Linked DNA regions of Macaca mulatta. The protein of the gene in region 2 purifies or fractionates together with the protein of the main gene of each other region. This does not show direct contact. Links are inferred from orthologs where the notes say so. Each region holds a gene or a part of one and is shown on either strand. Other genes may lie near its edges. The genes, in order: TUBGCP6 and NEDD1.

What was found.
Region 1: the proteins of NEDD1 (region 2) and TUBGCP6 purify together in Homo sapiens (affinity purification with mass spectrometry; 3 studies listed by BioGRID and IntAct, with this or other methods). This does not show direct contact. The link is inferred for Macaca mulatta from reciprocal best matches to the Homo sapiens genes NEDD1 and TUBGCP6.

Annotation. Positions count from the first base shown.
Region 1 is NC_133415.1:1,217,345-1,221,160, forward strand, and holds part of TUBGCP6 (gamma-tubulin complex component 6), read left to right. Parts: intron 1-930; exon of another isoform or gene 931-1,507; coding exon 1,508-1,681; exon of another isoform or gene 1,682-1,736; intron 1,737-1,857; exon of another isoform or gene 1,858-2,143; intron 2,144-2,917; coding exon 2,918-3,039; exon of another isoform or gene 3,040-3,137; intron 3,138-3,816. UniProt on the Homo sapiens protein: Component of the gamma-tubulin ring complex (gTuRC) which mediates microtubule nucleation.
Region 2 is NC_133416.1:104,258,653-104,262,468, forward strand, and holds part of NEDD1 (protein NEDD1), read left to right. Parts: intron 1-3,325; coding exon 3,326-3,555; intron 3,556-3,816. UniProt on the Homo sapiens protein: Required for mitosis progression. Promotes the nucleation of microtubules from the spindle.

The DNA.
Region 1 (3,816 bases), on a different chromosome or scaffold from region 2:
GCTGGAGTGCAGTGGTTCAAACATGACTCACTGCAGCCTCAACCTCCTGTGCTCAAATCGATCCTCCTGCCGCAGCCTCCTGAGTAGCTGGGACCAGCAGGCCTGCACCACCACGCCCAGCTAATTTTAAATTTTTTTTGTCTTTTTTTTTTTTGAGACGGAGTCTTGCTCTGTTGCCCAGGCTGGAGTGCAGTGGCGCCATCTCAGCTCGCTGCAACCTCCGCCTCCCACATTCAATGATTCTTCTGCCTCAGCCTCCTGAGTAGCTGGGACTACAGGTGTGCAGCACCACGCCCAGCTAACTTTTTGTATTTTTAGTAGAGACAGGGTTTCATCATGTTGGCCAGGATGGTCTTGATCTCCTGACCTCGTGATGCGCTGGCCTGGGCCTCCCAAAGTGCGGGAATTAGAGGCAAGAGCCACCACACCCAGCCTAGAGATGTCTGTGTGTTTTTTTTTTTTTTTTTTTTTTGAGACGGAGTCTCACTCTGTCGCCTAGGCTGGAGTGCAGTGGCACAATCTCAGCTCACTGCAACCTCTGCCTCCCACATTCAACGATTCTCTTGCCTCAGCCTCCTGAGTAGCTGGGACTACAGGTGCACACCACCATGCCCGGCTAATTTTTGTGTTTTTAGTAGAGACGGGGCTTTGCCATGTTGGCCAGGCTTATCACGAACTCCTGACCTGAAGTGATGCACCCGCCTCGGCCTCCTGAAGTGCTGGGATTACAGGCGTAAGCCACCATGCCTGGCCTAACTTAAAATTTTTGTAGAGATGGGGGTCTCGCTATGTTGCCCAGGCTGGTCTCAGACTCCTGGGCTCAAGTGATCCTCCTGCCTCAGCCTCCCAAAGTGCTGGGATTATATGTGTGAGCCACTGTGCTTGGCCTAACAGCTCTTTTTAAAATATCTCTTTAGGATATACACAGTGCTGTTGTGATTTAGTATCTTGTTTCCTTGTAATGTGGGATATCTCTTTTCCTTTCTAACGTGCGTATTTGCAGCTGTAACCTCCCTCCTGGCTTCTGCTGCACCCCGTTCGTTTCGGTTGTCATGAGCCCTCTACTGGGGGTCTCCACTCTCTGGTTACAAACACATTGCGGGGAATGTGCTGTGGCAAGTCTTTGTGCATCTTCCATCGTTTCCGCTCTTTCATCCCGAAGAGTTGAATGAGCGGGTCTCACGGCAAACATGTTTTATAGCTTCTGCCCTAGGAGGCTGTCTGTGTACTTGTGTCCTGTGGAAGGTGTTCTGTTGTTTCCTACCCTTTTCTACACTTGGCATTTTAAACATGTATTTTTCAGTGTGGTGAGAATTTGTGCCTTGTTTTGGTTTGTACGTTTTTGTCCCTCAGTGTAGGAGTTCTGGGTGCGCCTTCTGGGTGTTTGCTTTTGGGTCCTGGGGGCACTCTAGGTGGTGTGGGGTTGGGTGCAAGGGTGGAAGGAGATGGCACCTTCCTGGGGGTCTGGGTGCCTGGCCTCTGAGCAGTGTCCTCTACCCCTGTGCAGCCGGCCCAGGCCTTTGTGGTGAAGCGGGGTGTCCACGTGTCGGGAGCGTCTCCCGAGAGCATCAGCAGCCTGCTCTCGGAGGTGGCCGAGTATGGGACCTGCTACACGCGCCTGAGTCACTTCTCTCTGCAGCCGGTCCTGGACTCTTCGTACAGCAAGGGCCTCGTGTTCCAGGTACGGCCTCTGCCTCGTGGCTGTCACACATCCTTGTGAGAACGGTGCACACGACCTGGAAAAGAGAATCTCAGAAGTCCTTCTGCAGGACCAGACAGTCTAAACCTTTTCTTTCCTTGCTAACATCTGAAACCCAATAGTGGCTCATGAGGGATGGGTCAGTGAAGATGTTTTACCTCACTGGAAACCTGGGGCAGATGCGTGTGGGCCCTGGGGTGTGTGGGAGGCAGGTGCAGCCAGCATTCGGGGCATGCGAGGCAGGAAAGGCGTTAGTGGGGCTCTTGCCGCCTGCTCCCCAGTGGGCCCGGCACATTGCGGATGACTGACACTGCCCGGCCCTCGTGTTGGGTGAATTTACACTGCTGGGCGTTCTGAGCCAAGTCTGGCTCCGGAAGCCGCTCTTTGGTGAGTCTTGAAGCTGGCTCATATGCTGAGTAGAGACCCATGGGACAGAGGCTGCACCTTGATTGGGAGAGAATAGGCAGGCGGATGATGGGTAATTTGGGGGCTGAGAGGAGGGTGTTCGGAAGGTGGGCAGAGAGCACTGGAGGAGCCAGGCGGCGCAGCCTCCTTCAACTGTTGCTGCCACAGCAGGGGCTGTAGGGTGGGGTGATGTGGTGAGGTTTAGGTTTTAGACGGGCTGCGGAGGTGGGCATGGTGGGAGCTGCATGGGACGGGGAGAGCTTCTAGGCAGAGGCTCAGGCCTGGGGGACTTGAGGGCTGCAGATGGTGGAGAAGGGGGCAGAGCAGGGACACTGAGAAGGGCTGGACTGTGGTTCCCACTCATCTGGCAGGCGTGGCCAGGAGGGTTCTGGGGTGGGTGGACTGAGATTGGTCCAGGGTGCGCCTGTCTTGGTGTGACCTGCAGGGCCTGCTGCTGTGGCATTGCCCAGGATGCTGGTGCCACTGAGACCACTGTGGTCCGAGCAGACGCAGCTCTCACAGCACTAGTGTCTGTGCACAGAGCGCAGCCGCCATTTCCCCCCTCACCCCTCAACCCCTATGCCACGCCCCTGGGGCAGCTGGTCTCAGATGAGAGGAAGGGTTGGTGGGGGGGGCCACATTTCCACCTGGTCCAGTGGTGGGACGTGGCTCACAGAGGCCCATTGCTTGGAAATGGAGCCCAGAGCTGAGGCAGGAAACAAAGCGCTGTGCCCAGTACTGGTGCCCCTCAGGCCCTGGTCACAGCTGCGTCCATGTGCTTGGCCGCCCTCCTCCCAGCCTCTTTGCCCACAGGCCTTCACCAGTGGCCTGAGGAGGTACCTGCAGTATTACCGGGCCTGCGTCCTTTCCACTTCGCCCACCCTGAGCCTCCTCACCATTGGTTTTCTCTTCAAGAAACTGGGCCGGCAGCTCAGGTGAGCCTCAGCATGGTGACTGAGCAGGGGACTTTGCAGGAGTGGCATGGAGCCTGCTGGGTGATGGAGGGTTTGCTCTGCTTCCTGGCAAGGAGGGCCTGTGAGAACAGCCCTCAGCAGGTGACTGGATGGCCCTTGGCTGGCCGAGTTCACCAGGTGCCAGGCAGAGTGGGTGTGTCTCCCATGGGCCTACCACAGCTGGCCCCATCCAGGCCCTCCAGGCCTGGTGGCTCCTGCCTAATTGGCACACAGGGTCCCTAGGGATGTGGCTTCTGGTACACACAAGCTGGTTACTGAGCAACCAGGCTGGGGAGCTACTGGCAAGTGCTGTCAGACGAGGAAGAGTGAGGAGTTGGGCGTTGGGAGCAGTGGGAGAGGCGACCTTCCAGGCAGAGGAGCAGAATGTGGCAGCCCTGAGGAGACCCAAGGGCTGAGACACCGTGGGGCAGGGGAGCCTGGGCTGTGAAGGCGCGAGTTGTGGCAGGTGCTTGGTGCCACTGTGTGGATGGGAGGGGCTCTCAGGTGCAGCCCCCGGAAGTGGGAGGATCAGGGTGATTAGTGTGTTGGCCAGAGCCTGGGAGGGAGGGGCCTGTTGGGTGTGGGTACTTCAGTGGGTCTGTGTGGACAGTGCAGAGGCCCAGGGCTGGGCACAAGTCCTCCAGGGAGCCCATTTCTGGGTCGCTGGGGTGCATGTGGTTTTTAAAGACTGCATCTGAAGTCAGTTGCTCCACGGAGCATGAAGATACATGGAGATTTTGCTCATGATCTGATCCAGGC
Region 2 (3,816 bases):
AGTAATTAGAGTACTTGCAAATCAGAAGTAACCCAAATGTCTGACATGATTATTTAGATAAATTGGTGTACTCGTGCATTCATATCTTAAACAGCTATTAAAATCACGTAGAAAACATTAACATGACTGTTTATTATAAAGCGTTATTCCAGGTTTTCTGTTGATACTATACTGAATACACAGAAACATACATACACACGGAAAAATACTTAAAGGACATCCCCTCAAAATGTCAACCAGCTTTTCTCTGGGTTTATGGATGATTTTGGGTGGGATTATGGATGATTTTTCTTCTTTGTGATCAAAAAAAACCTTTTTTCTATTAAATAATTATCTTAGTAGAGACTGACAAACTATAACCAATGGTGTAGCCTACTTATTTTTGTAAAGTTTACTGGAACACAGCTATGCTTTTCATCTGTATATTATCTGTAACTACTTTTCAGTACAATAGCATAAAATATTTACTGTCTGGCCCTTTAAGAATAAGTTTTTGAAACCTTCCCCTCGCCTGTAGTGAGTGGTGTGCTTTTTATATTTAGAAACAGTCTCCCTCCTCCATAAACACACAACATTCTTACCCAATAATGTGTTACAAGAAAAAATAGCATTGTTGCTTATGGTGCTGGGATTTTTTTTTCCCCCCATAAGCTTCTTGATTTAATTCTTTTCTTATAAATAGTTTAGTCTGGAACAAGATAGGGACTTAATGACTTAAGTGCTGCTGATACTAAAATAAGTTAATATTTATTTTAAATATAATTTGGAGGCCAGGCGTGGTGGCTCACACCTGTAATCCCAGCACTATGGGAAGCTGAGGCAGGTGGGGTGCTTGAATCTGGGAGTTTGAGACCAGCCTAGGCAAAATGGCGAAATCCTGTCGCTTAAAAAAAAAAAAAATATATATATATATATATATATATACACACACACAATTAAATATATATATAAATTATATATATATATATAATTTAGTAAATCAGTGTTTTGTTTATCCAGGATTCTTGGCTAATATCTTAATGATATTCTAAAGAGAAGATTTAATAGATGTAGAAAGTTAAGAAATGAAATTCTGTTAGTATTATCACAGAAATAATTGGAGGCATTTAAAGAATTCAGTGTGGTTACTTAAGGGTCTTTAAAAATATATGTAAAAGATGTTTGAATGGTGGGTACATAAGCAGTGATGAGCAAGTAAGTTATGAGCTTCTGAAAATGGTGGTGACAGCTGCTGTGTACCTGATTCTTTACAGAAATGCTATTTAATCCTTAAAATAATTGTGACAGGAAAACAAGAGTGTTTTCTGTTATGTAAATGACAACACTGAGTTTTGGAGAGTTTAAGTAATTCACTTAAATCATACAGAGGTTTGCTGAGCGTTCACTGAACTTAGGTTTATCTGAAAGGAACATTTATCATTATCTTTAGCCTTTTCTTTTTTTTTTGTCTTGATCAAGAATATGTTTTTAACTGGTTATCAAGTTGTATTATAGACAGTGGTAAACTTCTTGTTCCTTGCTACCTGCAAGCAGATTCTGGATGACCATGTTTTAAGGATGTTTTAGGAAAATTCCTGCTGTTGCTAAAAGGTTAAACTTTTTGAACTTTGAGAATCTACCAGGTCTATGATTTTTATGGTGTTTTAAAAAATTCTACTTGTATATTTAGTCTAAATTTAGATCATGTGAAGGACCATAACTATATGAACTCCTAAAGTGCTGTAGAAATCTTTTTAGAAATCATGTTTTGCCTTATATTTTGATATGTTGTGTATGACTCTGTAATCATTAACATAATGTACTAAGGATCTCTGTGTCTTTTATATAGTTAACATTCATGTAGTTTATTTTTCTTGAATATAGACCAGAGAAAAGATTTGACTATTCAAGTTGGATATACTTTTTCCCAACAAAAATAAAAACTATGTAAACCAACATTTTCTCTTTGTACTTTAGCCATTGAAAATGAGCCATATTTAATGGGTTAACATATTAATTGTCTTAACTTAGGTACCAGGTGACTAATACTCCTTTTTTTTTTCTTAGAAAAAAAAAGTCTGCATTTCCTAGACAATTTTTTTTTGTTATTGAGATCTAATATATATTATTTTAGACATTTTAGAGTTAAGTAGAATATAAATTTGTAGGGAAAAAAATAGCTTAAATGTAAAGTACTTAATTCTCAGCCTAGTAAATGACAACATCAATACAAGTTTGAGAGTAACATTTTAATAAAAAAGAAAAGTAGATAAAATTCAGTTAGTTTTAATCTAAGATCAGTTTATTCAAACTAAATCTTTGTTTATTCTGGTCCATAGAAACTAAGAAGAGAGAATATCTCCACTACCCACAGGGATTTGTGTTTAGAGAAAGGCCAGCATTGCCCTCAAGCTGATGGTTTGGAAACAGTGGATATAGTCCATCCCCAGTCTAGAGTGTTGCCAGTTTTTCCTTTGTGGTTTAATTTTTTTTTTAAATTATGCTTCAAGTGTTGAATTGTCAGTGCATCAGATGCTCAGATTCAAACGAATGCATCAAAATATCTAAGATATAAAAAACAAATACAAAATATTATTGCTTTTTTTTTCTCCCAGTATTCCCTTTTACTTGTTCATGATTTGACTGTGACTAGGCCTTTTATATATGGTGAATGTTCTAACCCTGATGAATTCATGTAGATAATCTCAATGTATTATATTTTTCCTCTGAAAGGGGAAGATTGAGGTAGCTATACTCCAAGATAATAAAATGGTGAATATTAATAGACTATTGATTGGTATGTTTCAGTTATTGGTATGTCATCTTATGGTCCACTGAATGACACTGTGGTTGTCATGATTGAAGTTTGTTACTCTTTTTTTCTTTTTTTTTTAAGACAGAGTTGTTTGTTTGTTTGTTTGTTTTTGTTTGTTTTGTTTTGTTAAGACAGCGTCTCACTCTGTCGCCCAGACTGGAGTACAATGGCGTGATCTTGGCTCACTACAACCTCCGCCGCCTCTGCCTCAGCCTCCTGAGTAGCTGGGATTACAGGTGCCTGCCACTATGCCCAGCTAATTTTTGTATTTTTAGTAAAGATAGGGTTTCACTAGGTTGGCCAGGCTGGTCTTGAACTCCTGACCTCTGATGATCCACCTGCTTCAGCCTCCTGAAGTGCTGGAATTACAGGCGTGAGCCACCATGCCTGGCTGAAACCTGTCACTCTTACACATCAGAGAAATCCTAAACCCCATGTGAATAGTGTGGTTGGCCATAATTTATATGGCTTATATAAAACATCCTTGTGAATGCTTATAATTACATAAAATTTATTCTTTCATTTTTGTAGTCTGTTCGGCAGTTGAAGTACTCCTTGTTTAAGAAATCACTACTGGGCAGTGTTTCGGATAATGGAATAGTAACTCTCTGGGATGTAAATAGTCAGAATCCATACCATAACTTTGACAGTGTACACAAAGCTCCAGCTTCAGGCATCTGTTTTTCTCCTGTCAATGAATTGCTCTTTGTAACCATAGGCTTGGATAAAAGAATCATCCTCTATGACACTTCAAGTAAGAAGTAAGTGTGACGTGCTTGTTTTTAAATTTAGTAACAAATAGCTATTATTCCACTAACAGGCATATTTGTGATTTGTATAGACCTCTGACTAACGTCCAGGGGTCCTAAAGTTTGTACTGTTGATGAATCTAGTAAGAAAGAATTTTCTTTTCAATCAGAAAAAAATAGATGGATTGCAGGTAGTATTTAGAGTACTTCTGAAACATGAAAATAGAGAGATGACATCTTAATGATTTCACATTTTAATTGTAGCATCTTTTT